2 linked regions of the Oreochromis niloticus genome follow. The protein of the gene in region 1 interacts with the protein of each later gene in a biochemical or structural test. Links are inferred from orthologs where the notes say so. Each region holds a gene or a part of one and is shown in the gene's direction. Other genes may lie near its edges.

Evidence for each region.
Region 2: the proteins of axl (region 1) and gas6 form a complex in vitro, tested with the Homo sapiens proteins (2 studies listed by BioGRID and IntAct, with this or other methods). The link is inferred for Oreochromis niloticus from reciprocal best matches to the Homo sapiens genes AXL and GAS6.

What each region holds. Positions count from the first base shown.
Region 1 is NC_031979.2:33,637,258-33,645,171, reverse strand, and holds the start of axl (tyrosine-protein kinase receptor UFO), read left to right. Parts: upstream 1-4,903; 5' UTR 4,904-5,414; coding exon 5,415-5,577; intron 5,578-7,914. Other genes in the region: uncharacterized protein LOC102077316, read right to left, coding at 1,228-1,282. UniProt on the Homo sapiens protein: Receptor tyrosine kinase that transduces signals from the extracellular matrix into the cytoplasm by binding growth factor GAS6 and which is thus regulating many physiological processes including cell survival, cell proliferation, migration and differentiation.
Region 2 is NC_031965.2:16,477,510-16,485,010, reverse strand, and holds the start of gas6 (growth arrest-specific protein 6), read left to right. Parts: upstream 1-4,493; 5' UTR 4,494-4,961; coding exon 4,962-5,037; intron 5,038-5,306; coding exon 5,307-5,467; intron 5,468-7,501. Other genes in the region: pros1 (vitamin K-dependent protein S), read left to right, coding at 1-48, 468-655. UniProt on the Homo sapiens protein: Ligand for tyrosine-protein kinase receptors AXL, TYRO3 and MER whose signaling is implicated in cell growth and survival, cell adhesion and cell migration.

The sequences.
Region 1 (7,914 bases):
AGCAGGTTCTTTGAGAGAAATGTTCTATTTTTGTCAGTTTCAGTGATATAATTGGATACTTATTGTAGTGACATGAACACAACTATAACAATGTCCAATAAATTGTTTGGGGGGTTTTAAGAGCACAAACAGCAGCCTCAAAATCACACTGATGAAAAATTACAACAGTCAGTTGTCGCAGCATTACTTATGAAAACAACAACAACAATACCAATAATAATACAAAAAATAATGATACCTTGTCCTTGAAACAAGGCAGATCCATAACAATCAAAAATCAATAGAAACAGCCTGAGTTAAATGTAATGCTTTTTTGTATTAAAAAGAAACCGAAATATTCAAATTTTTGGAACAATGAGTTTCCAGAGTTTTCAAGACAGGACACACACGACCGTGTTAGACTGCAGACAATAGAAGGTGAGCACATGTTGACAGACAAGATCTACTTTATTTCTCCATACAGGATTAAAGTTGAACAGGTGGATTTGCAAGCGAGCAAGAGAGGGGGGTATAGGAATTTTTCATTGATTGTTTGTTATTATGGCATTTACTATACCTTACTATACATTAATTTGACTGCAGATTTCAACCTATAGATTAATATCCCTAAATTTTAATAGTGCTATTAGTCGGCATAAGTCAAGAGAGGAAGAAAAACATTTGAAGTACCAAAATAGCTACTTAACTGTTATCAACTGTGACGCCACTCTGAAATGAAAACAAGGGCAATAAAAAACAGATGTAATATAAGTAAAGAGAGGCGCTGGCCAAGAGCCGGTTCATGACTTGGCTTGAAAATTACCATCTCGTCATTCTGTAAAAACACATCTGGGATTGATTATATCATACTGGCTGGCTCTTAGGCTGACATTGCTCATGTAAGAGTTGGATTGGTGTTCTGAGACAGTGTTGTTTTCCACCGATTGTGAAGTCAGCAGCCATATAATCTATACTGGCTTTAAATGAATAAACACTAAGAATTTATTACACCTTGGAGAAAATAAGCATGACAATCAGAAAATCTAAATTGAAGACACAGTTGGGTCATATTTGACAGCAAAGCGACTGAGATCTTCAAAAAGCATATATAGTTACTAACTTTGGCCTAATTTGCAGAATGAGCACAAAAGGATGCAGTAAACAAAATCAGATCAAAACATTCACATCAAACTTTACATGACGACTGCAGAGGGGTTACTGTGGATAAAAGGATAGAAGCAGGCCTACCATATTTTTTGAGGAAGCCTCGATGAACACCTGCTGTGCTCATGTCTGTGGTCATCACAGCAACAGGAACTGAAATGAAAGGCAGAGCACTGATGCTGAAAAATAGGGTAAGAGAAAGAGGGAGAGGGAGAAGCGGGAGAGAGAATAATCCCCACTATTTAGGCCTTCCCTCTTTAAACCCATGCTGTTGTGAGTGGAATTGGAGCCATGCCTGGTTATGCACATATAAACATCATATGAGCATAAGAGGCCCAAATAATCATAACAGCGAAGCATAAATCCCACCAAAAAGATGATTTATGATTTATACTGCAACCATTACCAGATGTCATGTTGGACACCCTCCCTGAGCAACATACACACACAAGCTTCAATTTCCAGTTCCTCATAGAAAATATGAGAGGTGCATTATGGCTTATCATTAAACTGGTAAACCTGTCAAACCTGTATCTTAGCGTATCCCTGCGCCCTTGGATGGCTTCCGAACAAGGGCTCGGATCACCTCCTGCTCAAAAAGATTAAAACAGAGGGATTATTATTCTTGCACAGCTGGAAGCCTGTTGTTGCACTGCTGTGGATAGGCCCAACCAAGATTTTAATCTGTTCAAACCTGGGATATGTGGCCCCATCCAAGTAACCACCTCTAAGATATTACATGTCTTTCATCATCATATATCCAAGTGAGATTAAATGCTATTCACTGTGACATTCTGGGTTTGCTAATCGCTGTTAGAATGACGTTATGTAACAGGAGGGATCTTAGAGAGACACTCTCATGCTTTGATGAGACCGGTCTTCAATAAATGGGTTGTAAGGTGGTGGTAGTCTGAAAGATGTGGGGGCTAAATACAGGAAGCAGATTTCAGCAAGCAATTTGAAAATAAAATGGGCAAAAATATTCACACACCTTCAATGTACATTATATATTGCACCTTTAACACCTTGAATACATGAGACTTGAATCTTTGACCTCTGGTTTAGTGATCTGCCTACAGTAATGTGTAACATACCACATGGGATCACCAACATGCCAAAGCATTTGTTTGAAGTTGTTACTGCAGCCCATGCGTGTCTCTAGGTTTTTGTTCACAGACATATCTGTCTCTGTTTAAAGTTTATGACAAGCAGAGCTATTAAGGAGTTAGTCAAAGCCAGGAGATGACATAAAATCAGATAATCCCACTGGAAATTTTATTTTCCCATCAGACAGATCAGTCCTCCTTTTGAACTCTATGTGTGACAGAAAAACAGGATCTTACACTGTAGCACATAGATGTCATTTGCTTTGCTGTCTGTTGCTATTTCAGTGTTCCTATTACTGGCTAATATCACCAGTGAGATGAACACAAAACAGCACAAAGCTCTCATTGCAAGGTTTAATCTTGCTGCACACCTCTCAGAGCAAAGAACAAACATGAAGTAATAATATCTGGTGTTTTTGGCCCGGTTTAGTCAACTTTAAAATAAAAAATGATATCAGTACTGATAGAAGAATATTGATTACATTGTGCTTTCAAATTATTTGGGAGTGTAGAAAAAATCATCATATCAAGTATTGAGTATAAAATCTTTTACACTCTATGGCTGAAGTAAGCTTTCACCTTCTGCTTTTTGCTGAGTCCGTCTGTCTTCAGTCTGATCGAATGCAGCTCAATTTGATTTAAATCAGGGGATTGACTCTACTATTTGAGGACATCGCCTTTTCACCCTGTTATGCTTTTGTGTTGTTTTTGCACTATGTTAGGCATTGCTGCCCCGCTCAAATGAAATGTTTTCCCAATAGGTTTTGTACATTTGGCTGAATCTGAGCTCACACAACAATCTTGTATAGCTCAGATTTATCAGCAAATGTCGGTGTTAGATCCATTGGCGGCTATACTCAAGTCATAACAAAAACACCAATGGGTTTGACCGATGAGGAGGTCAGTTTGGGTCAGGAGCCTAAACTAACCACCTTTAAATGATCAGTCTTCAGTTAGGTTTGTTCAGAGAGTTTCTCAGGACTGATTGTTCTTCCATGATTTCAGTTGCAGTTTGAACAATGTCCCCAGCAGGGGGCATAAGAGACTTCAACTTCAGGCAGTCAGTCACTACAGTTTATTTTAATGAATCATCAGGGTTCAATGGAGCAGTTTGGCTGTCAAGTCTGCAGTAAGGAGAAGGGGAAAAAAGGGCCCTCGGCTCATTATCAGCACCACCGGGGGGATGTGTAGCTGGGAGAGTAGCAGGAAGGTGTTTCTCATGTCTTCCAGCCAATAGACACTCTTCTTTCAGACAGGTTGTTTTGTTAATAAGCATTTGAGATTATCAGGGAAATGAGCTCAGCAGTAGCCTACTACTCTGTGAGTAGCTGGGGCCCATATAGTTTGTTTTATAACCTAGACCATTCGCTTTTAATTCTGTTAATCCACTTGAGCTTCGTGTAAAAGTCTTTAAATCTTTGGGTCTTGGTGTGTGATGAATCAGGTTTCCTGGATTTTAGCGTGACTTGAACCTAAACACTCCTTGATGCCCCTCCCCCTTTAAACCCAAACATTCACTCCTTCCAGGTCCAACTAGCCCCGAAACTTTGTGTTTTGGAGTTGAACGCCCCGCTTTCTTATGCAGGACCACCCTCTGCGACCCTCTTCCCTCCCTCCACTCTGTGCTTCTATCGGGGAGCAGTGAGAGCACCATTGCTCAAGCCCCGATTGAAAGGAGAGAATATACAATGGGGTCTTTCTCAGTGGCTCTCTGTCTCCATTAAAAACCCTGGGAACACAACACTGTCCGCAGAGCTACTCTTAAAGGGGCAGTCGGACTGAGTTCTTCGCAACCTGAGTTCCAGCCCCTCTCATTGTTTTCAGTGAAGAAAAAAAACAGAAATATACACAGCAAATCAATTCATTCATGAATGATATGTGAACCCTGCAGGGACTTCTCTCACGCAGCAAGAAGCATTTCCTCACGCACACACAGAACACACTTCAGACATCGCGATCTACAACAGTAACTTAGATGTGAATCAAGGAAAGTTATTTAGACTACAGCTGAGAGTCCTTCAAATTGTTATGACTGAATCCGGATTTTCAAACAAATTCCCAGACATCGTGATGGTGGCTCTGTTTGTGTACAATGGAGTAAATGCAAACAAAAATAGTTTGAATATTTTTCTGTGCATTTTTGCTGACATCCCGTTTGCTTTTGACTGGTTGGAATAACAAATCGACATATTCAAATGTTTTAAACAGCAGCAAGATAATGAAGAATTAATAACAAATCCCGCTAAACCTGGATATGGTGTTTTAATAGTAGTACTTTTAAACATTTATATGTTTTAATTATTGTAAAACAGTATACAGAAAAACAATAGATGTGGATAAGCAATCAACTTTGACAGCGGGATAAAAAATATATTTTTCTTAGGAAAAAAAGAAAAAAGTTTATTATTAAAAAGCCAGGTCTGTAACATTATATATATGTACATGATGCTGTCATGTTACACACACTGAAATGCACAGGCTTGTGTTTGAAACAGTGTTTCAAGCGCGAAACTGTTGATTTACGGAGACATTTACAACTTCAGGGCATCACTGTGTAATTAAAAAGCGAATGGGAGATTGGGCCGAGACAATCAGCATGCCGCAGAGTTTCTCACATCCTTTGAGAAAAGGAGGGAGACTGTGGAGAAGGAGGAGGATGAGGAGGAGGGTGGAAAGAACTTGAGTTGAGGAATTTGAATCGTGTTTGAAAGGGGGAGAGGGATAAGAAAGCCAGGGGAATGTCTGGAGTCGCAGGGAACCTGTGGGCAGGATAGAGACTTTGGACAACCGGCTACAGGAAAGACTGGTTTAAAAATACGCTCTTGGTCGCTAGAAATAGACTCTTGTTTGGACAAGGAAAGTTTAGAGCGTCGTTTGCTGTGCGCTTTTTCACGGTAGATGAAAGTTTTTGATGGAGACAGCCCTGCTCCGTTTGAAACCAACCAAAGCAACAGCATAAGGGAAACTCAAGAGTTTGTGGCAATTCAGAGATTTTTTTTAACCGCAGGTTTCTTAAAATGGGGAACTGAAACGCGAGGATTCGCTTTGATTGGGTCTTGATTTGTGGATACTCACCATTTTCAGTACCTGCCAAGTCAGAGAAATTTTTTCTTTTTCTTTAGAGCAAAACACAACTTTGAATCTCTGAGCTGCTGCGATGCGGTAATGGAGTCTGGTGATGTTTCCAGGATGACTCTTCTCCTCATGAAGCTCTTTTTCCGAGGTCATTTGTTTTCGAGAGAAAGTATGAATTTGTCTACATGGTCGTTTGTGATTCTCACCGTCATGTTTTCGGTTTGGATACCAACATCTGCAGATTCGCTGACAGGTAAGGTTTAACTGAAACGGGGGCGGCTTTTTTTATTTACCCAATATGCCTGTTAGTTGTTACCTTGTGTGCAGGGGGAAACATCGTAAAGAGCAATTAGCACAGTCAGCTCTCTGCCTTGTTAACTCAATTTGCTTTTGGCTAACCACAGCTGCAGGGGCGTTCAACATCTGGCCAACATAAAAAAAAAAAAGTTATCAAAAGCAAGTGAAGGATTGATATTATTGTACACTATTATTATATTACAATACAATCAAACTAAGTGAGGGGGAGTTTTACCTGACAGGTAACAACCAGTAACACTAACTGCTCAAGGGCAATGTTTCTGAGATCAGGTGATCAATGTTTATTCATGCTGGGAGTTCATGCGAACAAGATTTGGAATGTGATAGATGTACTGAAACAAGTGAAAGGTGGGCATTTAATGTAAATATGCTGAGACATGGGTGAATCATAATCAACAAAGAGAATGTTTGCTGAACGCCAAGATAGAAAGATGAAAGCCAAATTTTCGATTTCTTAAGAAAATAGTCTTTCTACACTATACAGAATCATTTCAAAAGTATGTTAACTATCTTTTAAAACGAACTTTACTGACAAAAAACATGACTGTTTGGGAACTTTTAATTGAACCCAGTCGATGAAAACAGTATGCCTACAGGGACCTCCACCTGTCAGCTTATATGTTTTGACCATTGTGGTCACTCTGTCTCTTGGGCAGCTGACCTCAGTATATGTATGACTAGCAGGCAGGGAGATTACTAGACACCGACGTGAAGAATGGAGAATTTTATTCGGATGTCTCAGTTCCTATTTGGATGTGAGGATGTGAAGGATGAGGAGGGGTTCAGGGGGCCAAATGCTTTGGTTTGTGAGTCAGAGCTTGTCTGACTCAGACTCCAATCCAATGATGGATGGGGTACGAGGGCAAGAGTAGAGAGTTTGGAGGGGAGGTGGCAAAATGTGTAGTGATGAATCCAATGAATGGCATGAAAAGGAGAAAGGGCAAAGGCACGGCAGTGAATGGATTCCACACTGTTAAAAATGCAGGAGGATAAAGCAGGGAGTGAGAGGAGGATAAATGCTTAAGACTGTGTCAGACATTTTTGGTATGCGCACAACCAATGACATTTAACATCTGAGCATTCTCACAGAGTGGAGAGTAGGAGTAGAGGCAGGGTGGAAAGAAAAGATCAGGGAAAAAGTGGGGGACCTGAAGGGAATTCGGGGAACAATAGGGAGGTGATGAAATAGTTAGGCACCAATGAATCAGTGGAGACAGGCCACACACAAACAGAGACACACAGTTTGTCTGTAGCCTCCTCTCTCTGTCTGTCTGCAATCTTGTCAAATGTTTACAAGGTTATTATTATATGAACTCAGCAAAAAAGATACAGAGAAAGAAAATGGGGCTATTTCGGTTCAATGCACTGGAGGGGGAGGGGGGCAAAGCCAGGGTCATGTAGAATATTGAAAGAGCTCAGCCAAGCTTAAAAATAAAGGGATGAATGACTTTTAATGCCAGAAAACACACACAGACAAAGAGGTGGGGAAGCACACACTCTGTCGAGACATGTTATAGTTAAGAGTAAAATAAGTCCTGCAAAAAGGTGCATTTTAAATCTGTTTTTGGTTGTTGAATTATGGGCATTTATGTGTGTTATAATGAGATGGGTCTTTGGGGTCTTTGTAAAGGGTCAAAGGTTGAAAGGTGACCATGAAACAGACTAGGAGGGTGTGTTGACAAGCTTGAGAAAATCTTGCTTTTTCATTCTTGCTCTGAAAACCAAGTTTGCTCTTCTTCAAATGATTTATGTTTTCTTTATCTACAAGGAGTTGCCTTGGCTTGGTTGGTTGAGTGGATGCTTTGCATTTTTATGTGATGCTGCGAAAGAAAGAAAAGAATTCTTGTATCACAAATCTGTGCACATCTTATGTGCAATTGCCAGGTCCATGGTTTAAAGAAAATCTGGGTTTTTAAGTTACGTATTCCAATTCATTATCATTGAAAGTTTCAAAAGGTAAAAAAAAAAGAATGATCCACCGTTTTCAACATTTTTCTGACATCAGACATCTATAGGCTGCAGGTCTGTGAATACTGTTATGGAGAAGCTGTGATTATAATTACGTTTAGTTTGTGTTGGGCTCTCTGTTCTCAGACATTGTTTAAGCAACATGGGCAACCTTCCTCTAACAAGAAGCCTTTGTCTCAGTATCAGTGCTGTCCTTCTCAGGTCAGCCTCACTATCAGTAGGAGCACGAGATAACCAGAGTCTTTCAAAAGCTCGGGTTATCATATCCTGGCAACTGCAAAAGTAAGTCTGTCACAAGTAATAA
Region 2 (7,501 bases), on another chromosome or scaffold:
ACAGCACCATGCAAAACCCCGTCAGCACATACATTGGTGGAATACCCGGTTAGTAATGATTAAGAACTTTAAGCATAAATTATCATTGATGTGTGATCAAAATGAATAAAGTGTTTTGCAATTTTCTTGGTTTCTCTTGAATGTGTTGCTCTTCCTGCTGGATCTGTGAGCCTTGGTTGAACAGTGGTGCTTTGAGCTGCTAATGCTAATATCCACATGTTGCCATAGTCACAGTGACAATGGTGACGGCACGCTGAAGCTTAGCAGGAGGTGTTTACTGTTTTTCATGTTTCATGATTAGCACTAAGCAGAGCTGAGAATGAAAGGAATCAGAAAACCTTTAACTAGATGACTGCACTAGATTAAGAGCACCAAAACAAGGACTCATTCATATTGAAAGTAACATGAACAATGATACATAGTGTCATAACAACCCATCAAACAGTTACCGTCTCTCTCTCCTTCAGAAGACATCCCTTTGCCTACCACCCCTGTGACGGCCTTTTACCACGGCTGCATGGAGATCAGTATCAACGGCCAGCAGCTGGACTTCGATGAAGCTCTCAGCAAACATAACAGCATCAAGTCCCACTCGTGTCCTCCTGTCACTACCTCGGATGATGACCGAGAGGTGACACACATGTACAGAAAGTGACCCGATTTAAAAAAGCACATTGCATTAAAAAGCTCTTAAATTAGGCAGAGTCCCACAGGGGAAACTTCTTGGGATATTTTGGAAAGAGAATCTAGAGAGGAGGAGAAGAAGAGACGGAGGCAGAGAGTGATTTTAAGCTTTTCATCTCTACAGTGTTCTTGTTTGTACCCTGACCTATTTTGTTCTGGTATTGCTTTAGTGAGTCACAACAAAGGCTGGCTTACCAGTGAGGTAGCCGGAAGCTGGATGACATAGGTGTAGCAGTTTTTGTCTGCATTAAGTTGTTTTCCAGGAAAGTGGAAACAAAAAGGAGCTGAGCTCTGCAGCGTGCATGCCATGAGTTGAGTAACAGATGGTTATGTTTGTGTAGAAAAATAAACAAATGGTCACTGCTGACCAGACTGCGAGACCACCTGCATCTTCGTCCCTGCTGCTGCTGAATCATGGTACTCTCTCTAAATTGTTTAAAAACAACTAGTTGAAATTAATGTTTGTGGCAGGAGAAACCACAGAGGAGATATCTGAGCCTTCAGGCGTTCCTATCAAATTCTGTTTCATCTCCTTTGTTTAAATCACCATCTGGAGCTCTGCATTTCCGAAGCGTTGCTTCAATTTACCACTCTTGTCATCAGAGGTGTACACCAGTCATAATTACAGCATTTATTGTTCTCCTGTTTCTGTCCTTATCTTAAGGGCTCTCCTGGTTGTCATTTGTTTCCACTTTGTATATAAAACATGCCATCTTTAATATATAACTTAAATGTAGTTGTTTGGTGTTGTGTTTGATGTTTGTTTTAATAAAACTGTATCAAAGCAACCTTATTATTGGATTCCAGCCCTGCTTTGTTTTGGTCTCTCGCCGCTGCACAAAACAAGGTCAGAGACTGGGAACAGATTCAGAATTTAGTTTCATGATTCAAAATGTGTCATGATTATATCAGTGTCTTGGTGAGTTTTCTCATGTTCAGCAGAAAAACCTTGAACCCATACTTCCCAGCACTGCATCCGCCCAAGTACTTGGTGACACAACAAACTCATAAATCTGCCATTTACAAAACACAGTTTGGAGGTGTTTTCACATCAAGTGATGTGCTTTTTAATTTTCTGCAAAGCCCACTGTTGCGCAGATAAGAACCAGGCAAAACAGGACAAATGTGGACTGAAATCTAAAGAAATTACTGAAAAACATGTTGCACAACTTCCAGAGTAAACGAAACAAGTGCTGTTACTTTGCAAAGGACTGGGATAAAAATAAACTTCCCTGAAAATGAAAGTAAAAGTGGGCATAAGACTATTGAAAAATACTCAGTTACAAGAAACTGTTGAACTTTGAACACTGTAAACAAGTATCCAAGCCCTGTATACTCAACAGAAGACTAAACACACATTATCCATGCAGCTGAATGGCTCCTTGTGTAGCTGTATCATTATGTGTACCATAAATTGGTATTTAAGCACTTAATGTCATTTCACTACTTTAAATGCTGTTTAGTAGCTAAATCTATAACAAAGAACATATTGTATAAGTAAATGCTATGACCAATGCTGAACTATCAGTTGTTTTTCTACTGTGAAATCTGCAAAGCTGTTCAAATGATGGACTATACTTGGGGGGTATGTGTATTTTATTTACATTTTTGTTCCTTTATAGCTACTCCACTACTTCCTAGCTTGACTAATCAGTATTTCACACACCCTATAATGCCTACAAAAAAACAATACCGTAAGTGGTAAGTTTTAAGATACTTGGAATCAATTAGTAGCTTAAGTAGGGGCATTTCCAGGACTTCTTTACATGGAGAGACACAGGGGAGACCAAGAAAAGGGAGGGAAGGGCCTCCATGAAGTCTGGATATTCAATCAGAAGGAAAATCAGTGTAGAAATCTGGTATAAAAAATACTGGGGAGAATTTTTAGACTCATGTGGAGCCCTGTGTCCTATTACAAATTTATCATGTGAAAAGTGGTGCTATAAATAATTTTTAACATCATTTTGTGTTGAATGATTGTTTTGCAAAGTTGGGAAAAAAACAACTTTTTGTTTAAGTAAAAGTTATAATCATGATTAAAAAAACCTGACTGACCGGGCCAATATATCTGATTAAAATATGTTTTAAATTAATTTTAAAGTAATTAAAATAAACACATGTACACATACTATTATACTCTTAATTATTTATATATTACTAGGTAGCTTTATCTATAATAATAGAGTTTATAATAATTATTATTATTATTATTATAATAACAACAATTATAATTATAATAATTAAAGTAACAAAAGCTTTGAAAATAAATAGTACTGAGAATTAAAAAAAAAAAAAAGTACAATCACATTAAACTTGTACTTATAGTAAAGCCTACAGTAAAGTAAAATACTGTCAGATTCATACTGGTTTTACTCCTGGTCTCCTTCAGTGTTGTTGGGCACTCTTAAGACTAACAGCTCCAGTTAAAGTTAGAAGTCAGAATTTCAAACTTTCAATTGGAATGCCCCTTCAAGATGGATTTCCAGTTTGGAAAGTCGGAGCAGCCCCACCAACCTTGAATTCACAATCCAAGATTATGGCAATGCGCATAAACGTTAAAATGTAAAACTTGAAATTTGTATTGCCATGGTTTTTTCCCCATTGTGTTTGTGACTCGCTAAAAAAGGCATATGCAGTCCGCTGACCAGGCTCTGTTCATGAATGTGCTGCAGTCGTGTTTTTGAACACACACACAAAAAAATCCAAGCATTGTGCTGTACTGCTTGCGATGCACAAATAGGTCTACCTTGCGAAGAAGAAAACCAAATCATGTTTTTTTCTTGCTTTTCTGACTTTAGTAATGGAACACGCTCAACTTAGGAGTGACATCATTCCTGCTTCTGACATGTGACATAGTGAAACATTTGCGATAACTGGCAATGAGTATTTTACACCACTGTGGAGAAATTATGGCCCACTCTTATTTGCTGAATTGTTTTAATTCAGCCACACTGGAGGGGTTTCCAGCATGGATTGCTTGTTCAAGACTTTAGTTTGTTCCAAAAAGTTCAGTTTTTTCAATAAGCAAATAGGCTTGGCTAGTGAAACTGAACTCAGCTTTTCAGAAAATGTGGTTACTCATCGTTAATTCATGTTGATTTAACAGGCAAATATGACAAATATGCAAAAAAGAAAAAAGAAATCAGGAAGGGGAAAATACGTTTTCACAGCTCTTCAAAGTTTTTATCATTAACTAAAACTAAACTAAAAACTAAAATAAAATGTGAAAAAAATTAAAATTAAAATGAAAAACTAGACTTGAAATATAAATATAAAAGACGTATGATTTGTTTTAATATTTGTTGGTTTTTTCTCAATTTTATTATAACTTGCCTGGCAAGACACCGAGGAAAATGTTTATTGAGACTTTGGTTGTCTAAAATACTAAGTAAACTGCTTTCAAGAAGTTCTGTGTTTTTATTGTAACAATTGCACTGATTTACTTTTTAATTTTTTAAAAGTAACAGAAAAACTAATTAAAACTATAAACTAAAACTAAACATTTCCAAACAATAATAGTTAAGCTGAAATAAGAAAATCCACTTTGGAGATTAAACTGAATTAAAAAGAAAAAGTCAAAATGGGGGGAAAAAATAAGAATTAGCATAGTCTGTGCCACCTCATGCCCCCCTTTGGTTATGCCCCTGGACTAACGTTTAAAATACTTTTGAAGCCATTGCAAAGTACTCGAGTATTGTTTACTTTAATAGAAGTATTTACTTACTAACCACAAGTGCAACACCCAAATCACGGATTGCGTGCCAGTTAAACAGATTTTTTTTCCCCCAGTGTGATGCGCGCGCACACACACGCACACAGGCGAACACACACAGAGGAGGGAGGGATGAAGAGGTGTCTGCATCACTTCAAACTCCTGCCTGCACTTCTCAGAGAGCTACTCCTCCTCCTGAAGCAGAGACGAGCAGTGTTCCTCCGCAGACTGTCCGGTCCGCAAACGGCTAAGTTTGGTCCCACACACCGCGATGGGGACCAGCTGAACCGCACGCGAGGGGGGTAGAAGAGGTCGGTCGTGCAGTTTCCCCGTGTAGTAGTAGTGAGCGTCCTGGAGGAGGAGGAGGAGGGGGACACAGACACACAAGCGCGCGCGACGTTCGTGTCCTATCGTAGACGGTAACGGCCAACGGTCGGAGCTAGTCACCTGAATACCTGCGGCGTTTCGCACCGACGCCTGCGCTTACACCGAGAGAGGCTGAGGAGGGGGTGGGACGGGGCAGGAGAAAGTTTCTCGAGCTTGGCGCAAACACAGCGGTCAAACAATGCGGCTGACCCCGACAAAGTCCTTTTCATCGGCAGCGCTGCTAATCCTGCTGCTCGTCCGCTGGTCCGACAGCAGTAAGTAAACAGTTACATGCTAGGCGGCTAGCTAGCCCGCTAAACCCTCTTTGACATTTGAGTTGCAGCTGGTGATGATACACGTCTCGGTTATTGCCAGTACTGACGGTTAACGTTAGATATTTCGCAACATCCCTCACACTGTTTTCCTGCGCCAGTGTATTGCTTAACCGCAGAGTTGATTGACATTCACTTGCTCTTCTTTTTTTTTTTTTTTAAAGGTGACTAAACTTTGCCCGTTTTGCTCTCTTTTGCCCTTCCTTCTTTAGTCTCACTGTCCCCTCAAGAGGCGAACCAGTTTCTGAGCAGACACAAGAGGGCGAATCAAGTCTTCGAGGAGACGAAGCAAGGACACTTGGAGAGGGAGTGCGTGGAGGAAAAGTGCAGCAAGGAGGAGGCCAGAGAAGTGTTTGAAAACGACCCGGAGACGGTGAGTGGTGTGTTCACAAGTTAGTCTCAGCTGTAGCTCAGAAAAGGCTGCATGCAAGCAAAGGCGGGCTTCCTTCTCATCCTGTGAGGAGGTACTGCAGTACCACCAACTCCATCAGAGCACAATTACCAGCTGAGGTTGTGTTATGTACTGTAACTTCTGGGAGGCTGGGTGTTTACATCATGTTCATAATGACTACACTCACACTAATGATTCATTGTCTGGGCTGCTTGCCGCTAGTATTCATGCTTCAATAAGTCCAGCATGCTGATAGCTGTCAGGACACATAATATTCCCATGTCTGGGACTTGGCCGCTTTCTGCATCTTTTGTTTTGTTTCTGTGACAGACACTGAGTCAGCATGACTCTACTGTCATTTGTGAAATCCCTTTTTTATATATATATATATATATATATATATATATATATATATATATATATATATATATATATATATCTCCAATCTCCTCTTCATATTGACATGTGTCCTTAAGTTGATAACAAATATGGGATGTAGCTGGATGTCTTTCTGTTTCTTTTTCTCATCGTGTTGCATCTTCTGATGTTACACATGCACACTTTTGCTCATGCATTTCATTCAACATTACTGTGTACGTTGCCCCGCTAATCTGAAGACACGTTTCCTACTTGACATTTAACATTGTACAAAATCCATCACACGGGCCATGCTCAGAAACCTGTACTGGAGATTAGTTTCCATTCTGCATTCATGAGTGTACACGTCAGCCTTTCCATCCATGTGAATTCATAAGCCTATTTTATATGTACTACAGTGTGCTGTATGTGCAAACAGGCTATAAATAATCCAAAGTGTTTAGTAAAACACATGGAACTTGGGCTTCTTGGCCTTCCTCAGGAAGATGATATGTGTTACAGCAAATAATAGTGCAGATGCCTGCCCAGAATCTTCTGCAACAAGTCTACCCTAACTTGGGTGGATGCTTTTGATTGTGAACTCTGTAATTTTTCTTAATTTCTACATCTGACATTCATATTCAACGGTTTTAAGTGGTGGACTTGTGTTGGTGATGTGCTGCCCTTTAAATGTCACATTCACTCCTTAAGATTTGATATTGTGAATTGTAGCAGAGAGGGAGCGAATGAGGCAATCGATGACTTAAGATTACTTGTAAGATTAGTCTGGCGGTGAGGGAGGAAGGATTAAACTGAAGCTGAGGTGGATTCTGGTAAAAAGGGTGAAGTCGGGTGATGTCTGAATCAGATCCACGCATGCCACCGGCAGAACACCAAAGTACTCCTGTAAGTTTTGAACCTTGTCGTGACACAAAGCTGCAGTCTCACTCGTATCTGCATTATTCATCCTGAAAGGGCCTGTCTCTGACTCTGCATTTTATTCTGCTGCAGCTTTGTGGCTCTGCAGAGAGGGAAAGAGAGAGAGGCTGGGGTGTTCCCAGTGCTTATGATCATCCTTGGCATGGACAGTCATACCAAGTTTCTGGTCTCTTATTTATTTGATGACATACAAATGAGAAGAAGGTGTCAAAACTAACTTGCTCAGTGTGAGGTTCAAATGTAGTCGTTTTGGTTAACCTTTGAAGGTCAGCTTCCATTTTAGATCAGTGTATAATCAGCCTTTACCCCACACAGAATTTTGCCTGATTAGTTTCACTTAATAAGACACCGGTTTCACGCAAGCCTGCTGCATCTGGCATCTACTGCAGCATGAGTGTGACTCTGTGCCTCCAGAGTCTCAGATTTTGGCCTACATGTGGAGAAGTGCTGCAGCCAGAAAGCAGGAGGGATGGTACTACTACCAGGAATGCAGAGAATGCTGAAGAAGCTCCTGTCATAGAGCTGCACCCTGTTAGAGCAGATTACAGAGTAATCATAGCCTAATCTCTGCATCGCACTGCCACATTTCATGATTGTTTATGAACTGTTTTTCCTGCAGAAGTGGGCTATAAAAAAACTCCAAAAACAAATGCACAATTAAGTCAAGTATAAGAAGAAACCTGTTACTAATTTTAAGAGTTCATTGAAACTGTATTGCCT